Linked DNA regions of Saccharomyces cerevisiae S288C. The protein of the gene in region 1 binds, or shares a complex with, the protein of each later gene. Each region holds a gene or a part of one and is shown in the gene's direction. Other genes may lie near its edges. The genes, in order: SMD2, PRP31, SNU13 and SNU23.

Region 1 (7,903 bases):
ATCAATGTACTATTATTAGGTGATCCAGGTACCGCCAAATCTCAACTATTGAAATTTGTGGAGAAAGTGTCACCTATTGCGGTATATACATCTGGTAAGGGATCTTCTGCAGCTGGGTTAACTGCCAGTGTACAAAGAGATCCGATGACAAGAGAATTTTATTTGGAAGGTGGTGCTATGGTGCTTGCCGATGGTGGTGTTGTATGCATCGATGAATTCGATAAAATGAGAGATGAAGATAGAGTGGCCATTCATGAAGCTATGGAGCAGCAAACAATCTCCATCGCAAAAGCTGGTATCACTACAGTGCTAAATTCTAGAACTAGTGTTTTAGCGGCTGCTAATCCGATATACGGCCGGTATGATGATTTGAAGTCTCCTGGTGACAACATTGATTTCCAAACTACTATTTTATCCCGTTTTGATATGATTTTTATTGTTAAGGATGACCATAATGAAGAACGTGATATTTCAATAGCTAACCACGTTATTAATATTCATACAGGAAATGCTAATGCTATGCAAAACCAACAAGAGGAAAATGGCAGTGAAATTAGTATTGAAAAGATGAAACGTTACATTACGTATTGTAGATTGAAATGTGCACCAAGACTTTCACCGCAGGCCGCTGAAAAACTGTCATCGAACTTCGTCACCATTAGGAAGCAATTATTAATCAACGAATTAGAGTCAACGGAAAGGTCGTCTATTCCAATTACCATTCGTCAATTAGAAGCTATTATTAGAATAACAGAATCATTAGCCAAGTTAGAATTAAGTCCTATTGCACAGGAGAGACATGTTGACGAAGCTATTAGATTGTTTCAAGCTTCCACAATGGACGCAGCGTCTCAGGATCCAATTGGCGGCTTAAATCAAGCAAGCGGAACATCTTTGTCAGAAATCCGTCGTTTTGAACAAGAACTAAAAAGAAGATTACCTATAGGCTGGTCTACTTCTTATCAAACTTTGAGGAGAGAATTTGTAGATACACATAGATTTTCTCAATTAGCACTGGATAAGGCCTTATATGCCCTAGAGAAGCATGAAACAATTCAATTGAGACACCAGGGACAGAATATTTACAGAAGTGGTGTATGACAACAATAAAGTCTTAGCTTGACGCCTTTTCTACTTGTTTGCATGTAATGAATCTAAAAAATTCGCTACAAATACTTCATTATTATATTTCTATATAAATTCTGTAAACGAAATTATACTTTTTGAGGTTTCATCTGCGTCTCATATTCTTTTTGTATAATAAACGCACAGACTTGATATGACCGTCAATCAAAATAATTCAAAGCTTCTTAAAAAAGAAATTGAAATCAAAGACATACGAAAGAAATTAGAAAATAGAGGTCGATTTACCACTGAACAATCCTACAGTACATGAGCTCTTGAAGTGACTTTATGGGGACCAATTTGTCCTATCGTGATATTACTACGGGTAATACTACCAAATGAAAATTATCTTACTCAAAAGGTATGACAAGAACATCATCACTAGAACATCATCATTCTTAATAGCAAGCGCCATCACGTTTGCCCCGCCTTTGACAGTTGATTAGAGGAGTATTATAAAACCGTTTTATCATGTCGTATGTTTGATCTTAACCATTTTTACATCCTATAATTTGGAGTGAATTTTTATATACTAACTTAAAAGTAATTGATTTGTATCTTTCCAGTTCACAAATAATTGATCGTCCAAAACATGAACTCTCTAGAGCAGAATTAGAGGAACTAGAAGAATTTGAATTCAAACATGGTCCAATGTCCCTGATAAATGATGCTATGGTGACAAGAACACCTGTGATAATCTCATTAAGAAACAATCATAAAATAATAGCGAGAGTGAAAGCTTTCGACAGGCATTGTAATATGGTTTTAGAAAATGTGAAGGAGCTTTGGACAGAGAAGAAGGGCAAAAATGTAATTAATCGGGAAAGATTCATAAGTAAACTATTCTTAAGAGGTGATTCAGTTATCGTTGTGTTAAAAACCCCTGTTGAGTAAAAAGTAAGACAAGCAGCCCTCAATCAACAAGGAAAGCAAATCATCGTAAGAAACTTTACAGTCAGCGGAAAGCCTTTTTTTATTTTGGAAGTAAGACCAATTATTATTGGCTGATTTTCTAGCTCTTGCGAAAGTATTATATTCAAGAAAACGAATAAAGCATCTATATTATCACATTTAACTAAAGAGCATTTTTAATAAGTAGATTTTTACATAAAATATAGAATAAATATCAATATTATTAATCATTTGAAGTTCTTCAACGGGTCTACTTTACCATTCTTTGGCTTACTGACTCTTCCCTTTTTATGTGAATGGCGCTTCTTAGCATTGTGGAAAGGAACAAACTTGACTTTGGTTCCATTTCCTCTGGCTGATTCAGGAAGCAAGTAATCTGGAACACGCTTTAAATGCTGTTGCACTCTTGCTGGATGTAATTCTTTATCGTGTCTTAAACTTTGTAGCTCTTTTGGATTCTCCTCAAAATGTCTTTTCAACTTCTCACTTGCCAATAGTTCTTGTTTCAACTCTTTGACCCTAGCTTCTCTAATGGCAACTTGAGTAACAGCACGGAAACCGTCTTCCATTCTGTAACGGAACGCCTCGACCTGCTTTTGATCGAATTTGTAAGGCTGTAATTCTAATCCAAGTTTGCTCTGTTGTTTGATGATTCGTGAAAGAATCCTTTCATCCTTCTTTGCTGTCTGTAGCATTGATGGCTTATGCTTACCAAATTCTTTCAGTGGGACTACGAATGAAATTGCAGTACCGGTCTTTCCGCCACGAGCAGTTCTACCTACTCTATGCACGTAGGACTTAGCCGTCGTAGGTAAATCGAAATTGAGGACACATGCAACATTTTTGAAATCAACACCACGAGAAACACCATATTCCTTATCTTTCTTCACTTGGACCTTCTTTTTCTTGCTTGGTTTCTTATCGTTCTCAGGCTCGCCTTCCAAGCTTTTTTCTTCTTGATTTTCTGTATTGTGCCCTTCTTCTATTTCGTCATCTTCCTCTTTTATGTACTCGGTGTCATCTGTGGCAATCAATAGTTGGTAAACGTTTTTATTGAATTGGTCAACAATATGTTGCCTCGAATTAACGGGTAGCTCGCTGTTTAAAATACAGGACTTGATACCAAATTGTTCCATAACTAGCTTGAGCCTATATCCTCTGTCAATATTATTTACAAAAATTAATGTTTTACCCTTGATTAAGTTAAGTTTAAAAATGACATAGCATAGTAAGAATTTGTCAAATTCACTGACTTTAACGTAATATTGAAGTAATTTGTTTTGGTTCTTATTTATTTCCTCGTCATTGAATTTAAGAATAGCTGGAGAACGACAAAATTTTTGTTTCAAAGCCTGTATATCGTCATTTAGGGTTGCACTCATCAAAAATGTTTGTAAATTTTTTTTCAATGGTAAGTACTCTCCAATTTTGTTTAAATCATCTTGATAACCAAATGTTAACACTAAATCCACCTCATCAACTACTAAAAATTTTAGTTCGTTCAATGAGATAGAATTAATCTTTGTTTGCAACAAATCCAATAATTTACCAGGTGTACCAACTATGATTTCTGGTTGATCCATAAGTAGAGTGCTCAAAACTGAGTCAGACATATCGGATGATATGTTCAGAGTTCTTATATCTTTTGAACAATATAAGACTAGTTTTTCTAAAACATTATATACTTGTTGAGCCAGTTCTCTTGTTGGAACAAGTATAATACCTAGTGTACCATTTTCCTCTCCGTTATCAATTGTTTTTTTATATTCTAGGATAGTTTCAATTACAGGAATGAGGTATGCCAAAGTTTTTCCGGAACCTGTAGCGGCCTTTGCTATAATATCTCTCTTCTGTTGTAAAGCCAAAGGAATAGCATGTGATTGAATTAATGTTGGGTACTGAAATCCTATATTCTTAATAGCTTGTAATAAACGAGAGTCGAGATGAAATGCTTCGAACGTTGTAGAATCGTCAATATAAGCGCCTTCCACAGACTTTTTCTCATAGCTCATTTTTTTGATCTTTCGTTGCAGTTTTGGCTTAGTCTATTTCTTTTGTGAGATAAATTGTAGATTGACTATAACTATCAGCCAAAACAAAAGGCTCTTACTCAATGAAAGAAATTAGAAGAATCGAAATGAAATGAGATGAGATGAGATGAGATGAGATGGTCTAGAAGAGTTATTCTTTATGTTCGTGAAAAAAAATTTTTAAAATTTCATCTCTAGGTTTCATTACGTAAAGAGTGATTAAGGTAAACAATAAAAGGCAGTTCTAACCAGATTTTGGTTTGGTATTACTTCTATAAAGTAGTCTACTTAGTATGCGTAACTGTTTTTAACATAGCGGTGTGACCAAATTACCACCAATATTTAAGAGGCTTTCCACCCTACCTTTCAAAGGATTTGAATTACATTCTAAAATTTTCATATTGTTGAAGTCAATCTTAGCAGTGCTTTTACCTATGGTAACCACTCCAGTTATAGTTTCCTCTTTATTACTTGCATATTCATCTTTATTGAGAAATAAAGTAAAACAGTCACCAAACTGTTCTTTAAACAACCTTGAGATTTGCTTCACCCTCTCAACTTCATCAATCTTACCTTGTGCATTAGACTGCACATTGTTATGATCATGATCATCACAAGAATGACTCGAAAGCTTGACACTGGCGGGAGCTGAATCCACATTCATAAGTATAGCAATAATGGAGTCTGCTACAGTGTCATTCATTAAATCTTGAGTCCATTCCACAACGGCTAGAGTATTAACAATAGTTAACTTAATATCACCCATTATCTGTAGAATCAATTTACCTGTATTGGTCAGATTGTCTTTTGACTCTTCTTTAACCTTTGGTTCTTGATTTGTTACTCTATCATCATCTTGAAGAACTTCAGCCTCTCCAAACATTTGTAAAATGTGCCAGTAAATTAGCTCCTTTTTACAATTTACACGAACTGACTGGCGCTCTCTTAATATCGTTGTAGAAAGATCGGGATGGTGCTCTCTTAAATCAGACAAAGAAAGGAAGTCTAATTCGAAATTTTTGTCATCTGAAACTAGAATCCCAGAAACGACTATGTCTTTGTGTTCCTCTTCATCAACCAAACCTTTTTCTGCTTGAGAATCCAAGTTGTCTTCGTTTTCTTCCTTTATAGGTTCAATTTTAGCCGCAATTTCTTCCTTTATCTCTACGTTTTCTTCTTTATATATTTCGTTCACAATATTTCCCACAGCTTTTGCAACCTTGACACCTTGAAATTCAAGATCTACTTCAACACAGTTTCTAGGATTAAAAACATGGACTTCATTATCTGTACCCTTTAAAGACGCGAAATTGGATAACAATGCAGATTTCAAACGGCCCATGGGATTGGCTTCTCCATGAACAAGGATGATATTTGGCGCACTAATCTTTTCAATAAATTCTAAATTTTCCTGGAAGTCAACGTGTGCGGCAAAGGAGATTTCTTCAACTTGACAACGTCTTGGAATGGTTATTTCCGGATTATTTATGGAAGGTATTGTATCTGGCTCAAGCATAATAAATTTCGCCATTGTTCCTTCGATGGAGTAACCGGTGATTAGTACTAGATTTTTATCTTCAGGGCACCACCTTTCAAGTAAATCTCTTGATAACCCACTTTGCAGCATACCTGGTGAGGCCAACATCACACTGGGACCAAAATCTTGGAAATCCTCCAAGTTTCTAAGATAAGATATATTTTTGAATATGAAGGGATTAGTCTGAGAGTCTCTAAATTTTTTTCTAATGTCATCATTCATCATATTTACATAGGTTTGAAAAACGCTCATACATTTTTTTGCCAAATTTGATGCATAAAATATTGGGACTTGTCCACCACCGAGTTCATCAGCATGTTGAGACCAGTACTCATCCAGTATAAGCATGATTTCTTGAGCTCTCCCTAAAGCAAAAACAGGCAGTAGAACACGGCCTCCTCTCATCACTGTGGAATGGATTAGTTGGGTTAGCTTCCTTTCTCTATTTAAACGGGGCTCGTGAGTAGCGGTACCAAAGGTAGATTCCACAATTAATACGTTGGATGAAAGTGGAGGCACCTCAGCAGAATTTAAGTGACGATCTACTTCTCTCGAATAGTCACCTGTGAATAACACCCTAAGGCCAGCAATCTCTATTTGAAACATCGCTGCACCCAATACATGGCCTGCATGGAATGCCGTAAATTTGATACCATTGACGTCAACAGTAGAATGATAGTCCACCGTTTCAATTTTATCGAAAGAATCAACTAAATCCTCATCTGAGAATAGACCTTCGTCTTTAGTCCCCATAGAGGAGGATGAAGAACCTATACTAGTAACTCTTACAAAATCTCGCAGTAGCCATCTGTAAATGGCTTTGGTTGGATGTGTCATGAAAACTCTGCCTTGAAAGTTAGTCCGTTGCATCACATACGGAAGTGAAGCGGCATGGTCTAAATGGAAATGTGATATCAGTAAGATATCGACTTTGGAAAGATCAAATTCATCGTAAAAAGGTAATGAAGCTAATCCTTGATATGCCGGATGAATTCCTGCGTCGAGCATCACTGTTTTACCTTTATATTGCAATATATGACATGATCGTCCAACTTCGTTACTTCCTCCCAATGAAAAAAATTTGAATGTTGTTGTATTTGTTCGCTCCATATATGCGTATACTTATTAATGTTAACTTATTATGTTACTTTTTATTTCCTCAATGGACAAAATTCAATTGATAATACAATGTTTCTTTTGTGCTGTAACTTTTGAAGTACTGAAAACAAGGGTAAAAGAAATAAACGCTTATACCCGTGAACATTTTGAACCTATTAGATGTGATCTCAATATGTATTGCGCTGAAGCAGTAGAAGTTGTTAAAGATCCGCTAGTTTTTCATAATTTTCGGCCAGAATAACTGCTTACCCGTATTTATTTGCAAACACGCTACTTAGTCTTTTGGAGAGGACTTTATACAGGAAAGAAAGAGTTTTATTGATTTTAAAAACAATATAAATGAAAGAAAAAAATGTGTTTTAGATTAGGCTTATAAGATATGACCCATATCATAATTAAAAAAAGCGATTTAGTTGTTCTTTTAAAAAAAAAGAGAAAAAAAAAAAAAAAAAAAAAAGGAATGAGTTTGTACATACTATTATATTAATGTAGTATCACGTTAAAAAGCCGTAGTCATCATTAATCGTCCAAAAGTCTTCTACCGGACCAGATGTCATCATGTTATCCCAGTTAGAACGCTTTTTCCTGATGTCTGCGTTAGTTACTGTAGGAATAACATTGTCGAAATGCAGATTTGCGCTAGTGTTTGCTTCCACCTGTGTTTTAGGTCCATTCTTCTCTGTTTCGTCAAGATTATATTGTACACCTTCCTGATTGGACATCATGAACAAATTTCTGTTATACGAAGGGTCATTCTGCGTCTGTTGAAAATTATTAGCGGTTACATTGTTTTCAGAACACATATTTTGTTGTTGATGTTGTTGCTGCTGTTTGTCCATGGACAGAGATGAAGGCTCTTGACTCTGGGGAAATATTGTTTGTAGTATGGACTTGCTATTCAAAGCATCTAGAACGGAGTTATTGGTCCAGGTGGAAATATTGTTGATCATGTCATGAGCACCGTTGCTGAAAAGTATATCGCCCGAAGAAGAGCCATTTCGAGCTTGTTTGACACTGACCGGAATTGAATTGCTAGTAAATGACGCTGGTATCGAGGAGATAATATTATTGCCATAATCTGCTCTTAGGGGTGATGTACTGAAATTTGATTCTTCGACATCTCTTAATTGCTTATTTTCACTTGTATGGTTAGAGAATATTGCAGATTGTAGAGGATTAC
Region 2 (9,157 bases), on another chromosome or scaffold:
TTTATCATATTCTTTTGGCTAATTGGCGATCGTTTATATACCCCAGTGATTTTGGTTATAAATTTATAATATAGTTCAAACTATCCTTCCTTTAGAACAACTGTAAGCTTTAATTTTGAGCAAGCGCTACCATTTGATATATAGCAAACTAACCAAAATGCTAAGACATCTTCTAGTCTAAAAGTAACTCTTTTTCTGTGTATCTAATTCACATTGTGAATTTGAAAAGTACCCTTATTTGTATATATGTTGGTTTTGATGGTAGGTGACCTCACTTTTCTTTAGAAAATTTGCAATTATAGTTTTAGACAATCCCTTTATGTTTCATGTGCGTATTCATTATTTTTAACAAATTCCTAGTTCTCAAATCTGAGTCTCTTGGTAAAAATTTGCCTCCTTAGCTTAGTGGTAGAGCGTTGCACTTGTAATGCAAAGGTCGTTAGTTCAATTCTGACAGGTGGCATAATTTTATATATCTCTTTTTTTGCTTGTTGTACGGAAGTTCTGTCCATCCGGTGGGCGACCGGTATAGAATTATCGCGCCATCCATGAAGGTTGGCCCAGGGCCGAGTAAAGATTTAGGCAGGACCGGTGGTGGCCACTGCCTGGGAACGTCGGCCTACGGCTCGCTGCATGCCGTTGAAAAATTTCAATTGTAATTTGGAAAATTTAACCAAATGATAATTTCAATATGTACCACTAGCACTTTACGTCAAGAATCTCAAGCAAACCAAAGGGTTTTAATCTTATACTTTTCCATTCTATTTTTTAATAGAATTTAAATCGGCAGCTCTTATACTTGGAAACAGGACGTTTTCATTTTGCTTTTTTGAAGGCCAGATATTTGCTTTCACTTTAAGAACCAACTCCAAGAAATCTTCAAAGTTTCCTTTGTTAGATTTATCCTCTGATTGAATTATTGAAACCACAGGTATAATCACTTTGGGGTAGAACATTATAGTTTTCATAGAAATTTTACAAAGGATCTCCTTCATATACCATGGCTACAAGTGTTAAAAGAAAAGCATCTGAGACTTCTGACCAGAATATTGTTAAAGTGCAAAAGAAACATTCCACACAGGACAGCACAACTGACAACGGATCCAAAGAAAATGATCACAGTAGTCAAGCCATCAACGAGCGTACCGTGCCCGAGCAAGAAAACGACGAAAGCGATACTTCACCTGAAAGTAACGAGGTCGCTACTAACACTGCTGCGACTCGCCACAATGGAAAGGTTACTGCAACAGAGTCCTATGATATTCACATAGCTAGAGAAACGGCTGAATTATTCAAGTCTAATATTTTCAAGTTACAAATTGACGAATTACTGGAGCAAGTGAAGTTAAAACAAAAACATGTTCTGAAAGTCGAAAAATTTCTACACAAGTTATATGATATTCTCCAGGAAATTCCTGATTGGGAGGAAAAGTCATTAGCTGAAGTGGACTCCTTCTTCAAAAACAAGATTGTTTCTGTTCCATTTGTTGACCCCAAACCTATTCCTCAAAATACTAATTATAAATTCAATTACAAGAAACCAGACATCTCCTTAATTGGCTCCTTTGCTCTTAAAGCTGGAATTTATCAACCTAACGGCTCTTCCATTGATACTTTACTAACAATGCCAAAGGAGTTGTTCGAAAAAAAAGATTTCTTAAATTTCAGGTGCTTACACAAGAGGAGCGTTTATTTAGCATACCTAACCCACCACCTATTGATATTATTGAAAAAAGATAAATTAGACTCATTTTTGCAACTCGAGTATTCTTATTTTGATAATGATCCGCTTTTACCAATTTTAAGAATTAGTTGTTCCAAACCAACGGGTGATTCTCTTTCTGATTATAACTTTTACAAGACCAGATTCTCTATCAACTTGCTTATTGGTTTCCCATACAAAGTCTTTGAACCAAAAAAACTGTTACCCAATAGAAACTGTATTAGAATAGCACAAGAAAGCAAAGAGCAATCTTTACCAGCCACTCCTCTTTACAATTTTTCAGTGTTATCTTCTTCAACACATGAAAACTACCTGAAGTATTTATACAAGACGAAGAAACAAACAGAATCTTTTGTTGAAGCTACTGTTTTAGGTAGATTATGGCTGCAGCAACGTGGGTTTTCATCCAATATGTCGCATTCTGGTTCATTGGGTGGATTCGGTACTTTTGAATTTACTATCTTGATGGCAGCGTTATTAAACGGTGGTGGTATAAATAGTAACAAGATATTACTTCACGGGTTTTCATCATACCAATTGTTTAAAGGTGTAATAAAATACTTAGCCACTATGGATTTGTGCCACGACGGCCATTTACAATTTCATTCTAATCCAGAGAATTCCTCCAGTTCACCAGCTTCTAAATATATTGATGAGGGTTTCCAAACTCCAACCTTATTTGATAAGTCAACCAAGGTCAATATTCTTACAAAAATGACTGTTTCTTCTTATCAAATTTTGAAAGAATATGCCGGTGAAACATTGAGAATGCTAAACAACGTTGTTCAAGACCAATTCTCAAATATTTTTTTGACTAATATTAGCCGTTTTGACAATTTGAAGTACGATCTGTGTTACGATGTACAGTTACCTTTGGGTAAGTACAATAATTTAGAAACTTCTTTAGCTGCTACATTTGGGTCAATGGAAAGAGTAAAATTTATTACTCTGGAGAATTTCCTCGCCCACAAGATTACAAATGTTGCAAGGTATGCATTGGGCGATAGAATCAAATATATCCAAATTGAAATGGTTGGTCAAAAGTCCGATTTTCCAATCACCAAAAGAAAAGTGTACTCTAACACAGGAGGTAACCATTTCAACTTTGATTTTGTAAGAGTAAAATTGATTGTTAACCCCTCTGAATGTGACAAATTAGTCACCAAGGGCCCTGCTCATTCTGAAACTATGTCTACAGAAGCAGCCGTTTTTAAGAATTTTTGGGGAATTAAATCTTCCTTAAGAAGATTCAAGGATGGCTCCATCACCCATTGTTGTGTTTGGTCTACATCCTCATCAGAGCCCATCATTTCCTCAATTGTTAACTTTGCATTGCAGAAACATGTTTCAAAAAAGGCACAAATATCAAATGAGACTATCAAGAAGTTTCATAATTTCCTACCGTTGCCAAACTTACCCTCAAGTGCTAAAACATCAGTTTTGAACTTGAGCAGCTTTTTCAACTTAAAGAAATCCTTTGACGATTTATACAAAATAATTTTCCAAATGAAGTTACCGCTTTCTGTAAAATCAATCTTACCGGTTGGCTCTGCATTTAGATACACTTCCTTATGCCAACCAGTACCATTCGCATACTCTGATCCAGATTTCTTTCAAGACGTCATTTTGGAATTTGAAACCTCACCTAAATGGCCAGATGAAATTACTTCCTTAGAAAAGGCTAAAACAGCTTTTCTTCTCAAAATTCAAGAAGAATTAAGCGCTAACTCTTCAACTTATAGGTCGTTTTTCAGCAGAGATGAATCCATCCCATACAATTTAGAAATTGTAACCTTGAACATCTTGACACCTGAAGGTTATGGATTCAAATTCAGAGTTCTAACTGAACGTGACGAAATCCTTTATTTAAGAGCTATAGCGAATGCTAGGAATGAGTTGAAACCAGAATTGGAGGCCACATTCCTAAAATTTACTGCAAAATATCTGGCTTCCGTAAGACATACTCGTACTTTGGAGAATATATCTCATTCGTATCAATTCTACTCCCCTGTGGTAAGACTATTCAAAAGATGGTTGGACACTCATTTATTACTAGGTCATATAACGGACGAATTAGCAGAGTTGATTGCCATTAAACCTTTTGTTGATCCTGCACCATATTTCATTCCAGGTTCTCTTGAAAACGGTTTCCTCAAAGTGCTTAAGTTTATAAGTCAATGGAACTGGAAAGATGATCCATTGATTTTAGATCTAGTAAAACCAGAAGATGATATAAGAGATACATTTGAAACAAGTATTGGAGCTGGCTCAGAGCTAGACTCCAAAACGATGAAAAAGCTTTCTGAAAGATTAACCCTAGCACAATATAAGGGCATTCAAATGAACTTCACGAACTTGAGGAACAGTGATCCCAACGGTACACATTTGCAATTTTTTGTTGCCTCTAAGAACGATCCAAGCGGTATTCTTTATTCATCAGGTATCCCACTACCCATTGCTACAAGGCTTACAGCATTAGCTAAAGTAGCCGTGAATCTTTTACAGACACACGGTTTAAACCAGCAAACTATCAATCTTTTATTCACGCCTGGATTAAAAGATTACGATTTTGTCGTTGATTTGAGGACACCAATAGGTTTGAAATCATCCTGTGGTATACTTTCAGCCACAGAGTTCAAGAATATAACTAACGATCAAGCCCCATCGAACTTTCCAGAGAATTTGAATGATTTAAGTGAAAAAATGGATCCAACATACCAGTTAGTGAAGTATTTGAACTTGAAGTACAAGAATAGTTTGATTTTATCAAGCCGCAAGTATATAGGTGTGAATGGTGGAGAGAAAGGAGATAAAAATGTCATCACAGGGCTAATAAAGCCACTCTTCAAGGGAGCCCACAAATTTAGAGTAAACTTGGATTGCAACGTTAAACCAGTGGATGATGAGAATGTGATTTTAAATAAAGAAGCCATATTTCATGAGATTGCTGCATTCGGGAATGACATGGTTATAAATTTTGAGACAGATTAGAATAAACAACAAAATCATAACTTTTAGAAGTATCTGTATAATATTAAATAATTAAAGCAGCCGGCAGTTTACATAAAGAATATTTTTCTTTAATTCTTTTTTTTAGATGTGGTCCTTTCGGCGATTTGGCACAAGTTAACTTAGTATTTTTAAAAGTTTTGAATAGTACTGCTGTGGCGACGCTCAGAATAAAGCTAGGTAAACGATTTGAACGCCTCAACTAGCACTATTTGATAGCATTTTGGCTGCAGAAAATATACAAAGACCTTATGAGCTCTGAAGAGGACTATTTCGATGAGCTCGAATATGACCTTGCCGATGAAGTTAATGAGGAAAAAGAAGACATACAAACTAAAAAGCTCACTACGGTAAATTGTCAAACAGAAAAATTCAATCCATTCGAAATTCTTCCGGAAAGTATAGAATTATTCAGGACGTTGGCACTCATCAGTCCTGATAGGTTATCTCTATCAGAGACAGCACAGATTTTACCAAAAATTGTCGATTTAAAAAGAATCCTTCAACAACAAGAAATAGATTTCATTAAACTGTTACCGTTTTTTAACGAAATCATCCCCCTCATCAAGAGCAATATAAAATTAATGCACAATTTTCTAATCTCACTGTACAGTAGACGTTTTCCAGAACTATCTTCATTGATACCATCACCATTACAATACTCAAAAGTGATAAGCATACTGGAAAATGAAAATTATTCAAAAAACGAAAGTGATGAACTATTTTTCCACTTGGAAAATAAAGCAAAATTGACCAGAGAGCAGATCCTCGTTTTAACAATGTCCATGAAGACGTCTTTCAAAAACAAAGAGCCATTGGACATCAAAACGAGGACGCAAATTTTAGAAGCAAATAGCATATTGGAAAATTTATGGAAACTACAAGAAGATATAGGTCAATACATAGCCTCAAAGATATCAATAATTGCCCCTAACGTGTGTTTCTTGGTAGGCCCGGAGATAGCAGCCCAATTAATAGCACATGCTGGAGGGGTTTTGGAGTTCAGTCGCATTCCCAGTTGCAACATTGCGTCCATTGGGAAGAATAAGCACCTCTCACATGAGTTACATACATTAGAGAGTGGAGTACGACAAGAAGGATATCTATTTGCTTCTGACATGATTCAGAAATTTCCCGTTTCTGTCCATAAACAAATGCTTAGGATGCTTTGTGCAAAAGTATCACTAGCCGCAAGAGTTGATGCTGGCCAGAAAAACGGTGATAGAAATACAGTTTTAGCTCATAAATGGAAAGCCGAACTATCGAAGAAAGCTAGAAAGCTATCAGAAGCCCCGAGCATTTCTGAAACGAAGGCTCTACCTATTCCGGAGGACCAACCCAAAAAGAAAAGAGCTGGGAGAAAATTTAGGAAGTACAAGGAAAAATTCAGACTATCGCATGTCAGACAATTACAAAATAGGATGGAATTTGGCAAGCAAGAACAAACTGTTCTTGATTCCTATGGTGAAGAAGTTGGTTTGGGTATGTCTAATACTTCTTTACAACAAGCAGTAGGAGCTACATCAGGTTCCAGAAGATCTGCTGGTAATCAAGCCAAGCTAACAAAGGTAATGAAGCACAGGATTTCTGAGGCTAATCAGCAAGCTGACGAATTCCTAATCTCCTTGGGTCATAATACAGAGCAACCGAATCTGTCGCCAGAGATGGTTCAAATGCACAAGAAACAGCATACTAACCCAGAAGAAGAGACCAATTGGTTTTCCGGTCATGGTTAGGGCTCTTCTACATACTTGATAATATTTAAAAAGATATTATATAGTAGTGACCGGCGAGAGCGTTTTCGCTCATAAATTTCGTAAAAAGCCAAACACCACACGCTGCAACCCAGATGCCCTTTTTAGGAAATGTAATTATTCAAAAAGTAAACAATGACATGTTTCATTCCTCAATCTAAATCATTCGAAGCTACCTTGATGTTGAAGCCCTCCGCTTGTTGTTTATTTAAAAATAAATACAAGGAGGCAATTCGTCCAAGTAAATTATTGTAAGATAGAAACCTTGCTAAAGATAGAAACTAATATACCAGAAAAATTCAAGCAACATCTACAGTATTCCTTGCTAAAGAAAAATTCTTTAATATGCTATCAAAATCAGAAAAAAATGTCGACCTCTTGGCAGGCAATATGAGCAATTTGAGTTTCGATGGGCATGGGACTCCTGGGGGCACTGGACTATTTCCTAACCAAAATATAACAAAGAGGAGGACAAGGCCTGCGGGTATCAATGATTCACCTTCGCCGGTAAAACCATCCTTTTTTCCTTACGAAGATACTTCCAACATGGACATAGACGAAGTATCTCAACCTGATATGGATGTCTCGAACTCTCCCAAGAAGCTTCCACCAAAGTTTTACGAAAGAGCAACTTCAAATAAAACACAGAGAGTTGTTAGTGTTTGCAAAATGTACTTTCTAGAACATTACTGTGATATGTTTGACTATGTAATTAGTAGAAGACAACGCACGAAGCAAGTTCTAGAATACCTGCAACAGCAAAGCCAACTTCCGAATTCTGACCAGATTAAACTCAACGAAGAGTGGTCCTCTTACTTACAAAGGGAACATCAGGTTTTGAGAAAAAGAAGGTTGAAACCAAAAAATAGGGATTTTGAAATGATCACACAAGTAGGTCAAGGTGGTTATGGGCAAGTTTATTTAGCCAGAAAGAAAGACACAAAAGAGGTGTGTGCTTTGAAAATTTTGAACAAAAAACTATTGTTTAAGCTCAACGAGACAAAACACGTTTTAACTGAAAGAGATATCCTAACCACGACAAGGTCTGAATGGTTAGTAAAACTTCTGTATGCATTCCAAGACCTACAAAGTTTATACCTGGCTATGGAATTTGTACCAGGCGGTGATTTTCGTACATTATTAATAAATACTAGATGCTTGAAAAGTGGCCATGCGAGATTTTACATCAGTGAAATGTTTTGCGCTGTTAATGCGTTACATGATTTAGGCTATACACATAGAGATTTAAAGCCGGAAAACTTCTTAATCGATGCCAAGGGACATATAAAATTAACAGATTTTGGTTTGGCTGCTGGTACGATTTCTAATGAAAGAATTGAAAGTATGAAGATAAGGTTAGAAAAAATCAAGGACCTGGAATTTCCAGCGTTTACAGAGAAATCTATAGAAGATAGAAGAAAAATGTACAACCAGTTGAGGGAGAAGGAAATTAATTATGCGAACTCCATGGTTGGGTCTCCGGATTATATGGCTTTGGAGGTTTTAGAAGGAAAGAAATATGACTTTACTGTGGATTACTGGTCGTTGGGTTGTATGCTGTTCGAAAGTTTAGTTGGTTATACACCATTTAGTGGATCATCGACTAATGAGACCTATGACAACTTAAGGCGCTGGAAACAAACTTTAAGAAGACCGAGACAATCTGATGGGAGGGCAGCATTCTCCGATAGAACTTGGGATTTAATAACAAGATTGATTGCCGATCCAATCAATCGATTAAGATCCTTCGAACATGTTAAACGCATGTCTTATTTTGCAGATATAAACTTTAGTACTTTGAGGTCAATGATCCCGCCTTTTACACCCCAACTAGACAGCGAAACTGATGCCGGTTATTTTGATGACTTCACCAGTGAGGCTGACATGGCCAAATATGCTGATGTTTTCAAAAGACAAGACAAATTAACGGCTATGGTAGATGACTCGGCAGTATCATCAAAACTTGTTGGGTTCACTTTCCGACATAGAAATGGTAAACAGGGTTCCAGTGGCATCTTATTCAACGGACTGGAACACTCAGACCCCTTTTCAACCTTTTACTAGCGTAAAAATGAATTCTTGTCTTGCATTCGCCGCGATATAATTAGCTTTAACGAGCTTCATGCAAACTTTTCAACTAGCACCTATGAACGCTTTTTTCATAAATATACATATATATATATATAGTTGTGCATTACTTAGGACTTCAAGCCCATTGTTTAAAATCTCAGTTCACGGTAACGGTCCATCCCATGACCGTTTTGAACTAAACTTAAGCATTCATGTTGGGAGCGGCGAAACTTGGTAATGTTTTACAGGAAAACAGCAATGACCACTATTAATCGAAAATCTGCAAAAAATGAAAAGGAATGGGTGTTAACATCAATTGTTTTTTCAATGATAATTACAAATTGGACTGATACTACATTGCTAGATGTACAAAAAACGCAAGGTAGCTCTCTTAGAAGGATCCATAATATATAAAAAAGGGCTTATGGTTTACTGATATCTTTTTCACTTCAAAAACTTACATATAAAAATAGGATGACAAATGCAAAGATTTTAGTAGCTCATATAAGTGAAAGCGATGCCGATGAGGCTATCAGAAAGATCAAGAAAGTGAATGAAAAATCAGGGCCCTTTGATCTAATAATTATATTCAGTAACTCGT
Region 3 (7,902 bases), on another chromosome or scaffold:
CTATGTAATATGGGCCAGGTCAACCCAACATCTACCAATTATCTATATGATGAAAAATATGATTGGTAGTTACCGCCAATGCATAGATTTTAGACAACTTAATAAGGCCATGTTAAAGGGTGCATTCCCACTATCGCGCTTAGGATTGGATGAAGCATAACTTTTCTTCACTGTCAAATTGCATCGTAGTTATATCAGATCCAAATAAAAAATGAAAATAACAATAACAAGCCTTCTATTTTTTCTTGTCATGATCGTCGAGCTCGCAAGTGCGGGCACACTACTTCATAATGGTGCAAATTTGCCCTCATTACGTGATAACACCACTCTAACTGATGCTCGTAATGTGTTAAAGTACTTACAAGTGCTTGGTTTTCCAAGCAACAAAATAGCGGCTACAGATACTGTTGGAACTTTTATCATATTTAGCAATCGTACGGAAGCTAACACTACCGCTATGACGAAGACAGTGTCATACTGTTATCGTAACTACGGGCATAGTTTCTACTTCACTCATTACAAATACGACTATTTTCCTAGCGGGATTAGTTATATGGCAAAACTTGGCGATGCCACCGTCAACCATACGGACTTACCTCACTTTAGGAACAACAAACGGCTAACAACGCAAGAACTCAATGCCTTCCAACATCCAATTGTCGAGTTTCAGTAAGTACTCAGGTATTACGTTATGTACATGTATGATAATTCTGATTAACATCTTTTATACACAAAGATGTATGCATGAATGGTGCAAATATCTCGACGATGCGCAGTAAAGAAAGCAATTTACTACTAACGTCTAGCGATATCATAGATGATGACAGGATAACGATATAGGTTAGATGGATATTGGAGTAATTGTCAAGTCCCATTTTGATTGAAGACAACATTATTAGGCCTACAGAGTTGCTAAAATTCTCCACTAGGTCACAGGAGTTCGCAAAAGAGAATCAACAATCTACATAACCATGCACACATTTCTTCGTCCTCTACGTTATAATTTACTGCTCTAAAAGCGTCACTTCTCCTTTCATTTTATGTTTTATTGTTCATTATCCTACTGCGTTATCAATCCTTACATTTCGGCTTCCACTAAATTTAATGACTGCTTCTCATCATTTCATGTCTTCTAACGCCGTATATAATAATATCCCAGCAAAATATAACTGTTAGTTAGTGAATCATAACCGACTGTTACTCCTGCAATATCCATGGGAGAAATCACCATCGGAAGGTAAACTAACACGTAGGTATTGATTCTACCGGAAATGAACAAATGTCGTACTGCCCAAATGAGCCAAATGCCATCATATACGCCTTCATAACTATATTTGAAAAATACCTTTGCCTAAAAGACGAGTGGTATTGGAAACTTCAATTAGTGTTCAAAAATGTCCAGTGAGAGGATGAAGTTGTCGTGGTTGAAACAGCATAAACCACCTAAAATAGTATCAACTGACAACAACTGTGGAACACATGCGGTTACTTTTATAATTAACCGCAAAATACCTGAAATGAGCTAAGAAATAGTAATTATAAACATGCCACTACAAGTAACAGATTAAGTGATATGTTGGCGGACCTCAATATAAGCGACATGGAGAGATAGAGATAGAAGAATTTGTTATTGTGTTAATAAATAAAGTTAACATCCAGTTCTTTCAAGTTGGCTAAGCGCCGTGGCGCAGTGGAAGCGCGCAGGGCTCATAACCCTGATGTCCTCGGATCGAAACCGAGCGGCGCTAATTTTTCATTTCTTTTTGCCCGCAACAATAACACAGATCGCAATCATTTAAGCTATAGACTATAAGCTTTAACTTCTGCGTTATTATTAATAATTGTTATTGTTTTAGTTAGGTATTTCTATCAACTTATTTTATATATTCTATATTACAGTTTTCTTTTTTTACAAATTCACCCAGCAATTATTTATTATTAATTGTACATCTTCTTTAATAATGAATTTATTATTGCACAATATTCAACTTAGGAAAGATAGAGGAACTGAATTCTTTATCAGCAATGAAATAGGCCGTCTACGGCCGTCTACGGCCTATTCCATTGCTAAAAATTTGAATCGTATAAAGGGATATTACCCGGAAAAGAAACGCATTAAAAAAAAAAAAAAAAAAAAAACAGAAAAAGTGGTTAAGTGATTGACTGACCCTTGATAGTTTTGTACAATTATACACTCGTTCTGATTAAAAACTTGTTTATAAAAATCTTTTTAAAAGAAAGAGAAGATCGTGTTTATTGCTTTTCTCAAAAAGACTAATCAATTAGAATAACAAAAGAAACATATACATATAATGACTGAATTGTGTCCTGTCTACGCCCCTTTCTTTGGTGCCATTGGTTGTGCCTCTGCAATTATCTTCACCTCATTAGGTGCTGCTTACGGTACTGCTAAGTCTGGTGTTGGTATCTGTGCCACTTGTGTGTTGAGACCAGACCTATTATTCAAGAACATTGTTCCTGTTATTATGGCTGGTATCATTGCCATTTACGGTTTAGTTGTTTCCGTTTTGGTTTGTTATTCGTTGGGTCAAAAGCAAGCTTTGTACACCGGTTTCATCCAATTGGGTGCCGGTCTATCAGTCGGTTTGAGTGGTCTAGCTGCTGGTTTCGCTATTGGTATTGTCGGTGATGCAGGTGTTAGAGGTTCCTCTCAACAACCAAGATTATTCGTCGGTATGATTTTGATTTTGATTTTTGCTGAAGTTTTGGGTCTATACGGTTTGATTGTTGCTTTGTTGTTGAACTCCAGGGCTACTCAAGATGTTGTCTGTTAAGGCAGCTTCTGAATCACTAAAGCAGGAATAGAGTATACAAAAGAATCTTTTTGTGAGAAACTATGAAAACTATCAAAATTTTTCATCTTAGAGATTGTTTATAGCCCCTATTCTTACTTCATATCCAAACTACCTCATTTCAAGCTTCCTTTTTATTAGTACCATTATTATTGTTTAAAAGAGTATTACACGCTAAATATGTATATCTTAATTTTTAATGTGTATAAAATAGAAAATTTGAATATCAAGGAGCAACAAAGAGCATTATGCGTTTTAAGCTACACAATGGGTACGATGAGATCACTATACCTGTACTCTTAAAAGAGGCCCAACCTTATCAACTTCTATTGTTAAAGTAGACAATTGTATCGTTTCTTTTTCTTATCGGTTTTATCCGGGTAATAAATTCAGCATATAGAAAAATTTTTCATTTCTATTTTCTTTTTCTTTTCATTTTTCCTTTTTCTCAGAAAATTTTTTTTTCTAATGCTGGAATGAGATGAGTTAGAAAATTTTTCACTTTAAAACTGATTATTCTGGTTAATAGTGCTTATTCCTCTTAGTGTTCAAGTCCTACTTTCAAATCTTAATTTAAATCATCATTCGAGCGAGCTTTCTATACCAGGACCATACTGATTATTGCAAGGAACTTGAATAAACCAGATTTCATACTATAAAAACTATATTAAAAATGTCTGCCCCAAACCCAAAGGCTTTCCCATTAGCCGATGCTGCATTAACCCAACAAATCTTGGATGTCGTTCAACAGGCTGCTAACTTGAGACAATTGAAGAAAGGTGCCAACGAAGCTACCAAAACTTTGAACCGTGGTATCTCCGAATTCATCATTATGGCTGCTGACTGTGAACCTATTGAAATCCTATTGCATTTACCATTACTATGTGAAGACAAGAATGTTCCATATGTCTTTGTTCCATCTAGAGTTGCTTTAGGTAGAGCTTGTGGTGTTTCTAGACCAGTTATTGCTGCTTCTATTACCACCAACGATGCTTCTGCTATCAAGACCCAAATCTACGCTGTCAAGGACAAGATTGAAACTTTATTAATTTAAGTAGATTGGATTATATCTATCAACATAGTTTTTGTACCATCTATATACTATAAAAAAGTTTTTTGCTTTCCACTAGTGCAGACGCTAATAGTGCTGTTTTGTTAGTGGTATGATATATGTCATATCTTCATTGAATAACCTACTCGAGTGCATCTGTAAATGCACAAACATGTATTATCAATTGAGCTGTAGTAATTTAGGCATAACAAAAAGGTGCAAGATCTCATGGCACCTATTCGTTCGTAGGAGATTTATTGTCACCTTTTTAGTTTTACAGGATCGAAAAAATCTATGGTCTTGTATGGTGAATGATCTATATGTCTTCTCTTTGAATTTCTAGCTAGCTCATCAAAGCCGCTTTCATTTATTCCAGTCTCTTTACTCACGGAATATTGTTTAGTAACATTTCGCATGCTTTTCTCAGACCTTCGAAAAGCTCTTTTACATTCGAGCTTGATCTTTTTGTAATCATGCAACGTTCTCATCCACAGCTCACCAATGAATTCCGATATTATATAAATTTGGCCCTCAGTACCGCAAAGTAAAAATAGAGGTATGACGCCTTCCAACCTTTGACTATTGAAATTTGGACATATTTGAAGGTTTTGAAATCCATCTGGGATGGCCGCCAGTGAGATTATCTTATTAGGTAACCGAATTTTGAGGTATGGCATAGCCAACCCGCCCTTATCAACTGATAATTTAGAATCTTCGTATATTGTCAAGGTATTATCAATACCAATGGTGGCAACATAAGATCTATTGGAATATTTCAACGTTGCACAAGAAAGGTCTGATAATCGACCTAATAGATAGTTCTTATCACTCGCTAAACAATCGTTTTTAGGTTCTCTTAGCTTCTTAGGAATTATTTTAGTCGCCACTTGTGTAATGCTTCCCAACCGCTTAAAACCCAAGTAGGGACATTCAGGGTACTCTGATGGATATACTATGGACGTCCTAATTGGAAAGCGGGTTCTCAAAAAATCTCTCAAGATCTCAAATTGAACCAGATAATCACCACTCATATAAGCTGGAAGACCTATATGGTTAATCGATGAAAGTGCTGGGAAGGAATAGGCCTCTAAAATTTCCGCGCCCTCTTTTAGCATGTTTATTTTATATGCTGCTATGCCACTATCACCAGAAAATAAAACCAAGTTGCACTCATAGTATATGAACACCGAGAATATACAATCTTCGAGATAATTCGCGTACAATTGGGTAATGTTATTGTTTCTAATTTCAAACAGCCAGAATTTTGTACGTTTTTCACCAACTCCTAAGCATACAACAAACTTATTACCATAAAAGGGTCTCTGTGATAAGTAGATTGAGTTTTGTTCTGGCCACAGTGGCTTCACAACGGCATGTAAATACTTTTCATCCGAGAAACTGAATGTGGAAACTGCCTTCATTGAAGCATAATTGAATAGCATCAACTTATACTGCCTACTATTGCTATCGACCAAACACACCACGGCCTGATTGAGGTTATTTGGAACAGTATAGAGCTCTACGGGAATGCTAGGGAGGTAAAAGATATGATTTTCTAATTGAGGTTTTAATGAAGTCATCTGCTTAGTGAAACCTTCACGGTAAAACGTGCTACCAAACTCAAAGATGCTTATTCGAGAATCATAATCTAAAACACAAAGAGAGAACAGTGCTTTACCGGGTCGAATTCTCATTCGTCTTGGAACTAAGCCTAACTGTATGCAACCATAAGACATGTTTTGAAGATTTAACAAAATTATTTCCTTATCGTTGTAAAGGAAAACCAAAGGTAAGGAAGGAATCGTATCCAACAGTTCTAATTTCTGATCGTATAACGAATGAATCTCTAAATCCACTCTCAAAAAATTTGATTCTGATTTGTAGACTCTTACGCAGCCAGTGTATGATGATGCGATGACATAAATCGAGTCGTGTTTATGCTTTTTGCTTAGCCAAGATATTTTTATCAATTGATCATAGGCTATGAAAGAATAGTCTGGATGTGATGTAGCCACTTTCTTTTGATTGGCATTCCATACCGAAAACACACCGTCCAAGTAAATGACAAAAAGGTATTTCTCGGCACCATCTGAGAAACAGCTCACAATACTCTCTTTAGAATTGAGCCCATGGATAAAAAATTCTTCTTTTTTACGTAGAAAACCAGATTTTGCCTCAAGTATCGAAATCCTGAGCTTGGAGTTCTGTACGGGATAACAAAACATGGTGGAAGAGTTGTGGTTCGACTGCAAGAAATCGACCTGCCTAAATTCTCCGGTAGAACCATCCATACCGGCTTTCAAAACTTTTCCCGTCCTAGAAACAAATAGACCGTAATCATAAGGCTCATCCATTAAAAATATTCCGTTCTTATAAATCAACCCACCTGATTCATATGCAAATTCGTCACCACCATTAAGTGCTAAATCTGTAACCCAAAAATCAGTTACATTCTCTACTAGCGCTTTGGAGGAAGTCACTAACTTGAACAGGGTTTTGTCATATACCAAAATTTTCTTTTCTAAAAATCCTCTTCTTGAGTTAAAACTTCCACCCAAAAGCAGTGAATCAATATCTGTCCCCTTGTTTCCAATAACTTGTGATGCCAGGTAAACTTTGTTTGTATAAGCGGGACCGCTTTTCACCTTTTCTAATTTTGAACCTCGATGATCTTTCGATATAAAATTTACTCCATTTATTCTTGTCACCGCTATATACTTTTCACGTGGGAGCTGCAAAATAACATCGCATAGATCATGTTTAGGAGGCTTGAACACTCTTTCTTTTGTCCATTGTAGTTCTTTCAGGACGTGGTCTCTATGTAACGACCTAGTGTGTATCTTGGCAGTGTATTTGTTAGCATACACGTCAGAAATTGTCAAGAGAATGACTGATCTTTCATATATCACATCATAAGAATCTTTTAGAAATTGGTAGTTTTCTACATTTGGGAGACCTTTATTATTGAAAAAAGCCCCGTTTGTAAGCCCACTTGCTTTTATATTTATTATTTGAGTGTAGTTAGTAGTCAACACTACAATGGTATGGCCGCAAACTACCTTCATATAACAAAATTCATTATCACATATCGGCAAAAGATTGTATTGGCGGTACTCGTTTAAATCAAATTTCCTACTTCCATGCTTTCCAGCAAGATTGTATTCCTTTAAAAACAGGTTTTCACTATAGCAACTCTTAAGTAGGCAAAGAAAATAAACGTGTGATTTACCTGTGCATGTGGCGTCGTCAAGCAAATCCTCCCTGCTAATAAAATCAAAGGAGATAATTTCTTCGCCATCGGTGGCATAAAATCTTTCGACTATTCCTTCTCTGAAGTCAAAGGAGTAAATTGTCGTACATAACGTATGCAAATCACTATCATATGATATGTTTTTATTGCAAGTGTATAAAACACCCTCAAAGGAAGCATTTAACCAGCTGGAAGTTAATAAAGAAATAGTATCCAGTTTCGGAGCCACATTAGAGTCGTAGATAATTTCAAATTTGTTATTTTCGCATTTGAATCCCTTAATGGAACCGTCGTTAAACATTAGCAGGTGACAGAAGGAAGCTGACATGAACATCGGTACAGTTGCGTAGTTAACAACGAACGGTCCATCTAAAGCGAACTCAACCTTCGCTTTCAATTCGTTGGACGTTCCGGTATACAATCCATAGCTAAAACATAAAAAGTAACTTCCTTCGTGATGAAGACAACTTACCAGCTTCTCAGCCTCATCTTTTGATCTATAAGATGTTATGCATAAAGGTAAAAAGGCCGAATTGCTATCCAATTTTTTGCAGTCCGTTTCATCTTGTCTTGCCATTTTACGTGGCAATGGCTAGTGCAATATGCAATGCGCTAACGCTGACATTATAACACAATATATTTTTCTACCCTCCCTTTCGCTGAGTTGCGACCAGAATGTCTGTTTTTCAGTCATGTATTTCTTTCCGCTTTAGGCGTTCAGGCAAGCGCGTTCAGTTGAAAGCAAATAGAACCTATAACGACGAATACGCTTAAAGGAAGTATACAGG
Region 4 (6,128 bases), on another chromosome or scaffold:
CATTGCCACTAAAGGAGGATGAACATCGGTGAAGAATATGTTGTTCACGTATTGAGAAACAAATGTACCAACTTCATTTTCACCAAAAACAACACTATTTGGCAGGGAGATATTGTGTAGCCTTACGATGGCAGTAAATATCAGCAAACAGCCAACTAGAAGCTTTTCCTTAGATGAAGTAACTGTTCGTAATGAACTCAAATTATCACAGGGTTTTGTTATGAGAAAAGACCTCAAAGGGCCGCGTTTAATAGTCACATCGGGGATGGGATCCACCTTCAGCAAATGCTCTTTATTCATCTTTAAAGCAGTTATGATCTTACACACCTGCTTAATTGTTAAATCAATAAGAATATTTTCGAAAAAGAAGAAAAGAAACGGGTCTATGCATAATATGTACTACGCTTCTGTTCCTTTTCTATTGTTCTCGAATGCCTATTCGATAGACTTTTCGCGGCACGTAAACGAGTTCTTGGAAAAAAAACGGTGCGAAATGATAATACCACTGAAACTACTTGCAGATCATACTTATTTGAGCGAAATAGAATACGTGTCTCTAAACGCAGATGGACAATATAGTCAGCTTCAAGACATTTTTTTTATTCATGATGTTTTTTTTGTCTATTTTCGTTTTTAATTATACGCTCGAGAGCTTATAGAAGACTTTACATAAAAATGTGGAGAGTACTGGGAAATTTATTCCAAAACAGCCCTTTTTTCTACTTTTAAAATGTTAGCTCCCTCCTCTTCCAACATTTTTTTGACAACTTCTGGATCTAGTTCATTACCTTCTGTGTCTTTAAAGATTTTCTTGCCATCCTCGTTCATGAGATCTTCATACGACGGACCGTCCCCTTCTATAGTGATTTCTTCAACTGTACTAGTGGCGGCAGGTTGAGATTCACGTTTAGTCAAGGTTTGGTTTTTGTACTCTTCTAATGAAGAAAAGTATGTGTTACAATTGTAGTCCCAACCAGACAACCACTGCGATTTTTGACACAATTCTTGAGTCCATGGTGTACCGTAAATAATTGGACTGAAGCTCTTGAAGAAATACACAGAAGCAGCAAGGAAAGTGATCACTACCGCGTAGCCCATTTGTCTCTTGCTGCGGAAAACATAAGAAACTATTATGTCCAAGGCGTGGCCAAGGGCAAGAATACCGAAATAATAAGCAGGTAAGTAGTGATGCAAAAACATTTGACGTTGCATTAAGAAAGATGGAGCATAATGGACGGCAAAACCCAATAAGTAGTGAATAACCTGAACGTGGAAGTTAACAACCTTGGAGTCCTTCAAAATTGGTTTACCTAACTGCCACGAGAACAGCTCAGTGATAACAATCAATCCGAAAATACCGATGAAAGCGGTGACAGCCCACCATACGATCGCATTACCTAATAGATAGACGTTTCTGTTATTTTCACCCCAGTAACTTATACCACGTAGCAAGAATGGCCATGAAGTTGGTTGTGATTCATAAACATGAGGTTCGACCAAATTTTTATTGATATGCCACATCTTTTTATGGGATTCAATAAATTTAGAAATGAAGCTTGCAGGTTTATAGGAAATACGCTTGGTATCTTCTGGTAACAATGGGTTACTGTTGTTCTCAACGTACCACAATGTTAAATCATGTCTACCGGAGGAGGCACAGGTAACTTCTTGTTGTTCGAACCCCCAAGCTGGCAACTTGACTTCGTGGGAAAACAAATAACAGCCTGTCATAGCATGTCTCAATCTAAACTTTGTGTCCAAAGCTATGACCCGTTCTTGGGCAACTCCAGGAGCAGAATTCTTTTTATCAATCTCAACAACCCAGTCATCATTAGCATCACCGTCGAATCCGCTGTAACCATAACAAGAAACCTCCTTCTGCCAGTCGCTGCTTTCTGAAACGGGTGGCTTATGGTCATGAGAGTGTAATCTACATCTTGTAACAGTGTGGAATAGTCTGACCTTGGTACCATCGGTTAGGTTTTGGAATGTTGTTAAAGATTCGCCGGGTGCGTTGTAAAGTTCCAACAACCAATCGTTATTGGCATCCATGTGAGGATATAAAGTGCTTTGTTGTTGTTCCGAACCAGCTGGATAATTGTGTGAATGAGAATGCAAATAACCGCCCATGGTAGAGAGATGACGCAAGCTGATAATGGAGCCAATGCCGACATCAGCAACGACATTTTGGGGGATCTTATTGTTCTTTAGTGTAGATCTAAATTCAGGCGAAAAGAAGCTTGCGCCATCCCCGTCCAAAGTTAATGATTGGAAGTGGATATAAAAGAAGACCAGATAAAGGGCAAAAGGCACACCCAACAAGAAGGCCAATTTGGCAAATGCTACTTTGAAGATGGACTTGGAAGACTTAGTCAAATCCCCAATCATGAACCATAGTCTCCAGATACATAAAAGACCCACCCATGTAACCGTGAAAAGACCAACCCATTTGGATGAAGATGCCATACCAAGAGCAATACCAGTAGCAAGCAAGGACTTGTAAGCATTGAGCGAGTTGGCAGGGTACATTTCGTATTTCTTGAAAGAGTAGACTGCAGCTGCAATGAAAAACATCAATGGGGCGTCCAACAGAATGTAACGAGAAATAGTGACGTACGAGTTTTCAACGGCAAAGCAGATAGCGCTCATCAAAGCAACCCACATACGAACACCAGAATAACGTAAAGTCATGTACATCAAAATAACAGTAAGAGCCCCCAAAGAAGCAGAGAAAAATCTCATCAACACGTATGGCGTCGTAGATGGAAAGCTGTCACCAATATTTTCGAAGTCAAAATCACCCTGGAACCCACCAAGCGATGCCACACCAGCATACAACATCTTTGCAAGAGGAGGATGCACATCCATGAAGTAAGTCCCCCTAATGTATTGCGAGGCAAACCCACCGAAATGTACTTCATCAAACACCACGCTGTCAGGCCATGCCAAGCCATGCAATCTAATGACCGCTGTAAAGACAGCAAGACAGGCCACTAACAGCTTCTCTTTAAGAGTGACCATGGTTCGTAACGAGGCCAATTCGGCACTCGGATCGGTAACAATAAAGGGTCTTACGGGGCCCTGCTTGATATCCAGTTCGGGCACGGGATCATCCTGCTCTACACGTTTGTACGTTTTCTCTTCCGACATGACCGTGCTTGTAGCTGTTAGCTGTTTCTTGATAGGCTCTTCTGATACTACCTCGCTTTAACAATGCACCTGTTTGTCTTGTTTTGCTGCTCGAAAATAATCAAGATCTGCTTAGAAACGCCAAACTCTTCTTCGACACGTGTCGAGAAAAAAAACGCAGCGAAAAAAAAAAAAAAGGTATATCATCACAATATACGATATAAATGGGCAGGGCAACCCCGAATGATGTATATTCTCTTCTGGTTCCAAGGGTGGCAAATGTTGGTAGAAAGCGTAATTGAAGCAAAGATCCGTTAAATAAGGCCAACTAACAGAAGCGCTGAAAGAGGACAATTGGTGATTAATCTATAAACGAGGAACTTCATGTCTCTGCCAGGTTCGAAATTAGAAGAGGCCAGGAGACTGGTTAATGAAAAACAGTATAATGAGGCAGAACAAGTCTATTTGAGCCTGCTGGATAAAGACAGCTCACAGAGCAGCGCCGCTGCCGGTGCCAGTGTGGATGACAAGCGTAGAAATGAACAGGAGACAAGCATATTGGAATTAGGACAGTTATACGTGACTATGGGTGCAAAGGACAAATTGCGCGAGTTTATTCCTCATTCTACGGAGTATATGATGCAATTTGCCAAATCCAAAACGGTAAAGGTATTGAAAACGTTGATTGAAAAATTCGAGCAAGTGCCGGACTCCTTGGACGATCAGATCTTTGTGTGCGAGAAAAGCATCGAATTTGCCAAGAGAGAAAAAAGGGTGTTTTTGAAGCATTCACTCTCGATCAAATTGGCCACCTTACATTATCAAAAGAAACAGTACAAGGACTCATTAGCATTGATTAACGATCTTTTGAGGGAGTTCAAAAAGCTGGACGACAAGCCCTCTTTGGTTGATGTACATCTATTGGAAAGTAAAGTTTACCATAAACTGAGGAATCTAGCCAAGTCCAAGGCCTCGTTGACTGCAGCAAGGACGGCCGCTAACTCCATATACTGTCCTACACAAACAGTTGCGGAGCTGGACTTGATGAGTGGTATCCTGCACTGTGAAGATAAAGACTACAAAACTGCATTTTCGTATTTCTTCGAAAGTTTTGAAAGCTACCACAATTTGACTACGCATAATTCCTACGAAAAGGCATGTCAAGTGTTGAAATACATGCTATTGTCTAAGATCATGCTGAACCTTATTGATGACGTAAAAAACATCCTAAACGCAAAATACACAAAGGAAACGTACCAGTCCCGAGGCATTGATGCCATGAAAGCTGTCGCTGAGGCTTATAACAACAGATCGCTTTTAGACTTCAACACGGCGCTAAAGCAATACGAGAAGGAACTAATGGGCGATGAACTAACAAGATCCCATTTCAATGCATTATACGACACGTTATTAGAGTCCAATTTGTGTAAGATTATTGAGCCATTTGAATGTGTGGAAATATCCCACATTTCCAAAATAATCGGTCTGGATACTCAACAAGTTGAAGGAAAGCTCTCCCAAATGATACTAGATAAGATATTCTACGGTGTTCTGGATCAAGGTAATGGTTGGCTTTACGTTTACGAAACTCCGAATCAGGATGCCACGTACGACTCTGCATTGGAATTAGTCGGGCAACTAAATAAAGTCGTCGATCAACTATTTGAAAAGGCAAGTGTCTTGTATTAGGTTTACATGTATATATATGTATGTATACTCACAAGTACCAGAGTAAGAATTCCTAAATAAACTTATAAAATGCAGAAAATACATAAGTATGATTTTTCTTTTTTTTCTCCTAAGAAAGGAAGAAGTTTAATCGAATGCGCCGCTAAATAGAAAACAGTTGATGCGAAAGTTCATCAAAACCAGAAGTTCCTACAAGCCTTAGCTGACAAAAATTCGAGAAAGCTAATGTCGAATTTTGGCAGAAGAACTTGGGATAGAGAGGAGTATGCTGAGCAGGCTAGAAGCGGCTATGACGATCGATCCTTAAAGGCTACGCTAACACCGATTGAATTACAAGCTTTAAAATCCAAATATACAAATTACGATCATTTAATCAAGGGCTCGCTAAAAGACCTAAATAAAAGGAAACTAACAGCAAATACAGAGAGCTTATCGTCTTTCAAGAGGGGAAAGAAGTTCGGATTTTACTGCGATATTTGTAACCTAACCTTCAAAGACACTTTACAATACATTGATCATCTCAACCACAAGGTCCATGCAATAAAATTTGAAAATTTGTTTGATGAACCGTTAATTATAGATATAAGAGATAATGATGACGTACCGCAAGAGGAGTTTGAGTTGTGCTATCATAACTTGATAAAGGATTTTGTAGAGGTGCGTTCTATGGAGACTCAGTCCAAGAGGAAAAGGCTTTTGGACACAGATGTGGAGAAAGCAAAGAAAGTGGCTACTAAGCCTTCTATTGAGAGTGAATCAAAAGTCAGTCAAATGATGGGATTTTCCAATTTTGCCACCTCTAAAAAATGAGAAACCAAGTAAAGATAAATGAGCATAATACAAGCATAGAGCACATATAAAAAGTCGGGACTCAGATCAGATCATTAGATATATCTTTTATGTATATAAACCCTTAATTAAAATATATACGCGAAAATATTCATTCTCAAAATTCCATTATTGGGCCAGAACCAATACTTCTCCAAGTGGTCATGTCTACGTTCCACTGGCGCCATTTGTTCAGCATAACGCGATCCACTTCCATATTATTCCCGTGGGCCACCTGCGTACCAGAATTGGTTACAGATTGTGAGGGAGTTAGATTATTGCTTGAAGTGTTGAAATCCGCAAATTGAATAGGAGTTGCTGTGGTATTTCTTGCTGCCTTAGCTTCTGCTAATTTTAATTTTTCTACTGCGGCAATTAATTCATCCCTTGCGGTTTGCAAATCGTTTTGTAAACCATTAATGATGTCTTCTTTTTCCTGCAATTGATCCTGTAGGTCATCGACAGTAGTTTCATTTTCCATA

Evidence for each region.
Region 2: SMD2 (region 1) and PRP31 share a complex: the UniProt entries of both Saccharomyces cerevisiae proteins name them as parts of the U4/U6-U5 tri-snRNP complex.
Region 3: SMD2 (region 1) and SNU13 share a complex: the UniProt entries of both Saccharomyces cerevisiae proteins name them as parts of the U4/U6-U5 tri-snRNP complex.
Region 4: SMD2 (region 1) and SNU23 share a complex: the UniProt entries of both Saccharomyces cerevisiae proteins name them as parts of the U4/U6-U5 tri-snRNP complex.

What each region holds. Positions count from the first base shown.
Region 1 is NC_001144.5:692,782-700,684, forward strand, and holds SMD2 (mRNA splicing protein SMD2), read left to right. Parts: upstream 1-1,596; coding exon 1,597-1,601; intron 1,602-1,691; coding exon 1,692-2,019; downstream 2,020-7,903. Other genes in the region: MCM DNA helicase complex subunit MCM5, read left to right, coding at 1-1,101; DBP9 (ATP-dependent DNA/RNA helicase), read right to left, coding at 2,265-4,049; cleavage polyadenylation factor subunit YSH1, read right to left, coding at 4,375-6,714; YLR278C (uncharacterized protein), read right to left, coding at 7,218-7,903. UniProt on the Saccharomyces cerevisiae protein: Plays a role in pre-mRNA splicing as a core component of the spliceosomal U1, U2, U4 and U5 small nuclear ribonucleoproteins (snRNPs), the building blocks of the spliceosome.
Region 2 is NC_001139.9:661,358-670,514, forward strand, and holds PRP31 (U4/U6-U5 snRNP complex subunit PRP31), read left to right. Parts: upstream 1-4,983; coding exon 4,984-6,468; downstream 6,469-9,157. Other genes in the region: rRNA-processing protein UTP22, read left to right, coding at 1,001-4,714; serine/threonine-protein kinase DBF2, read left to right, coding at 6,832-8,550; DRN1 (Drn1p), read left to right, coding at 9,031-9,157. UniProt on the Saccharomyces cerevisiae protein: Promotes the association of the U4/U6.U5 tri-snRNP particle with pre-spliceosomes to form the mature spliceosomal complex.
Region 3 is NC_001137.3:98,457-106,358, forward strand, and holds SNU13 (RNA binding protein SNU13), read left to right. Parts: upstream 1-3,486; coding exon 3,487-3,867; downstream 3,868-7,902. Other genes in the region: YEL028W (uncharacterized protein), read left to right, coding at 212-673; VMA3 (H(+)-transporting V0 sector ATPase subunit c), read left to right, coding at 2,313-2,795; YEL025C (uncharacterized protein), read right to left, coding at 4,125-7,691. UniProt on the Saccharomyces cerevisiae protein: Common component of the spliceosome and rRNA processing machinery. In association with the spliceosomal U4/U6.U5 tri-snRNP particle, required for splicing of pre-mRNA.
Region 4 is NC_001136.10:284,081-290,208, reverse strand, and holds SNU23 (U4/U6-U5 snRNP complex subunit SNU23), read left to right. Parts: upstream 1-5,043; coding exon 5,044-5,628; downstream 5,629-6,128. Other genes in the region: putative dolichyl-phosphate-mannose-protein mannosyltransferase PMT5, read right to left, coding at 1-300; dolichyl-phosphate-mannose-protein mannosyltransferase PMT1, read right to left, coding at 697-3,150; proteasome regulatory particle lid subunit RPN6, read left to right, coding at 3,514-4,818; BUG1 (Bug1p), read right to left, coding at 5,765-6,128. UniProt on the Saccharomyces cerevisiae protein: Participates in pre-mRNA splicing. Part of the U4/U5/U6 tri-snRNP complex, one of the building blocks of the spliceosome.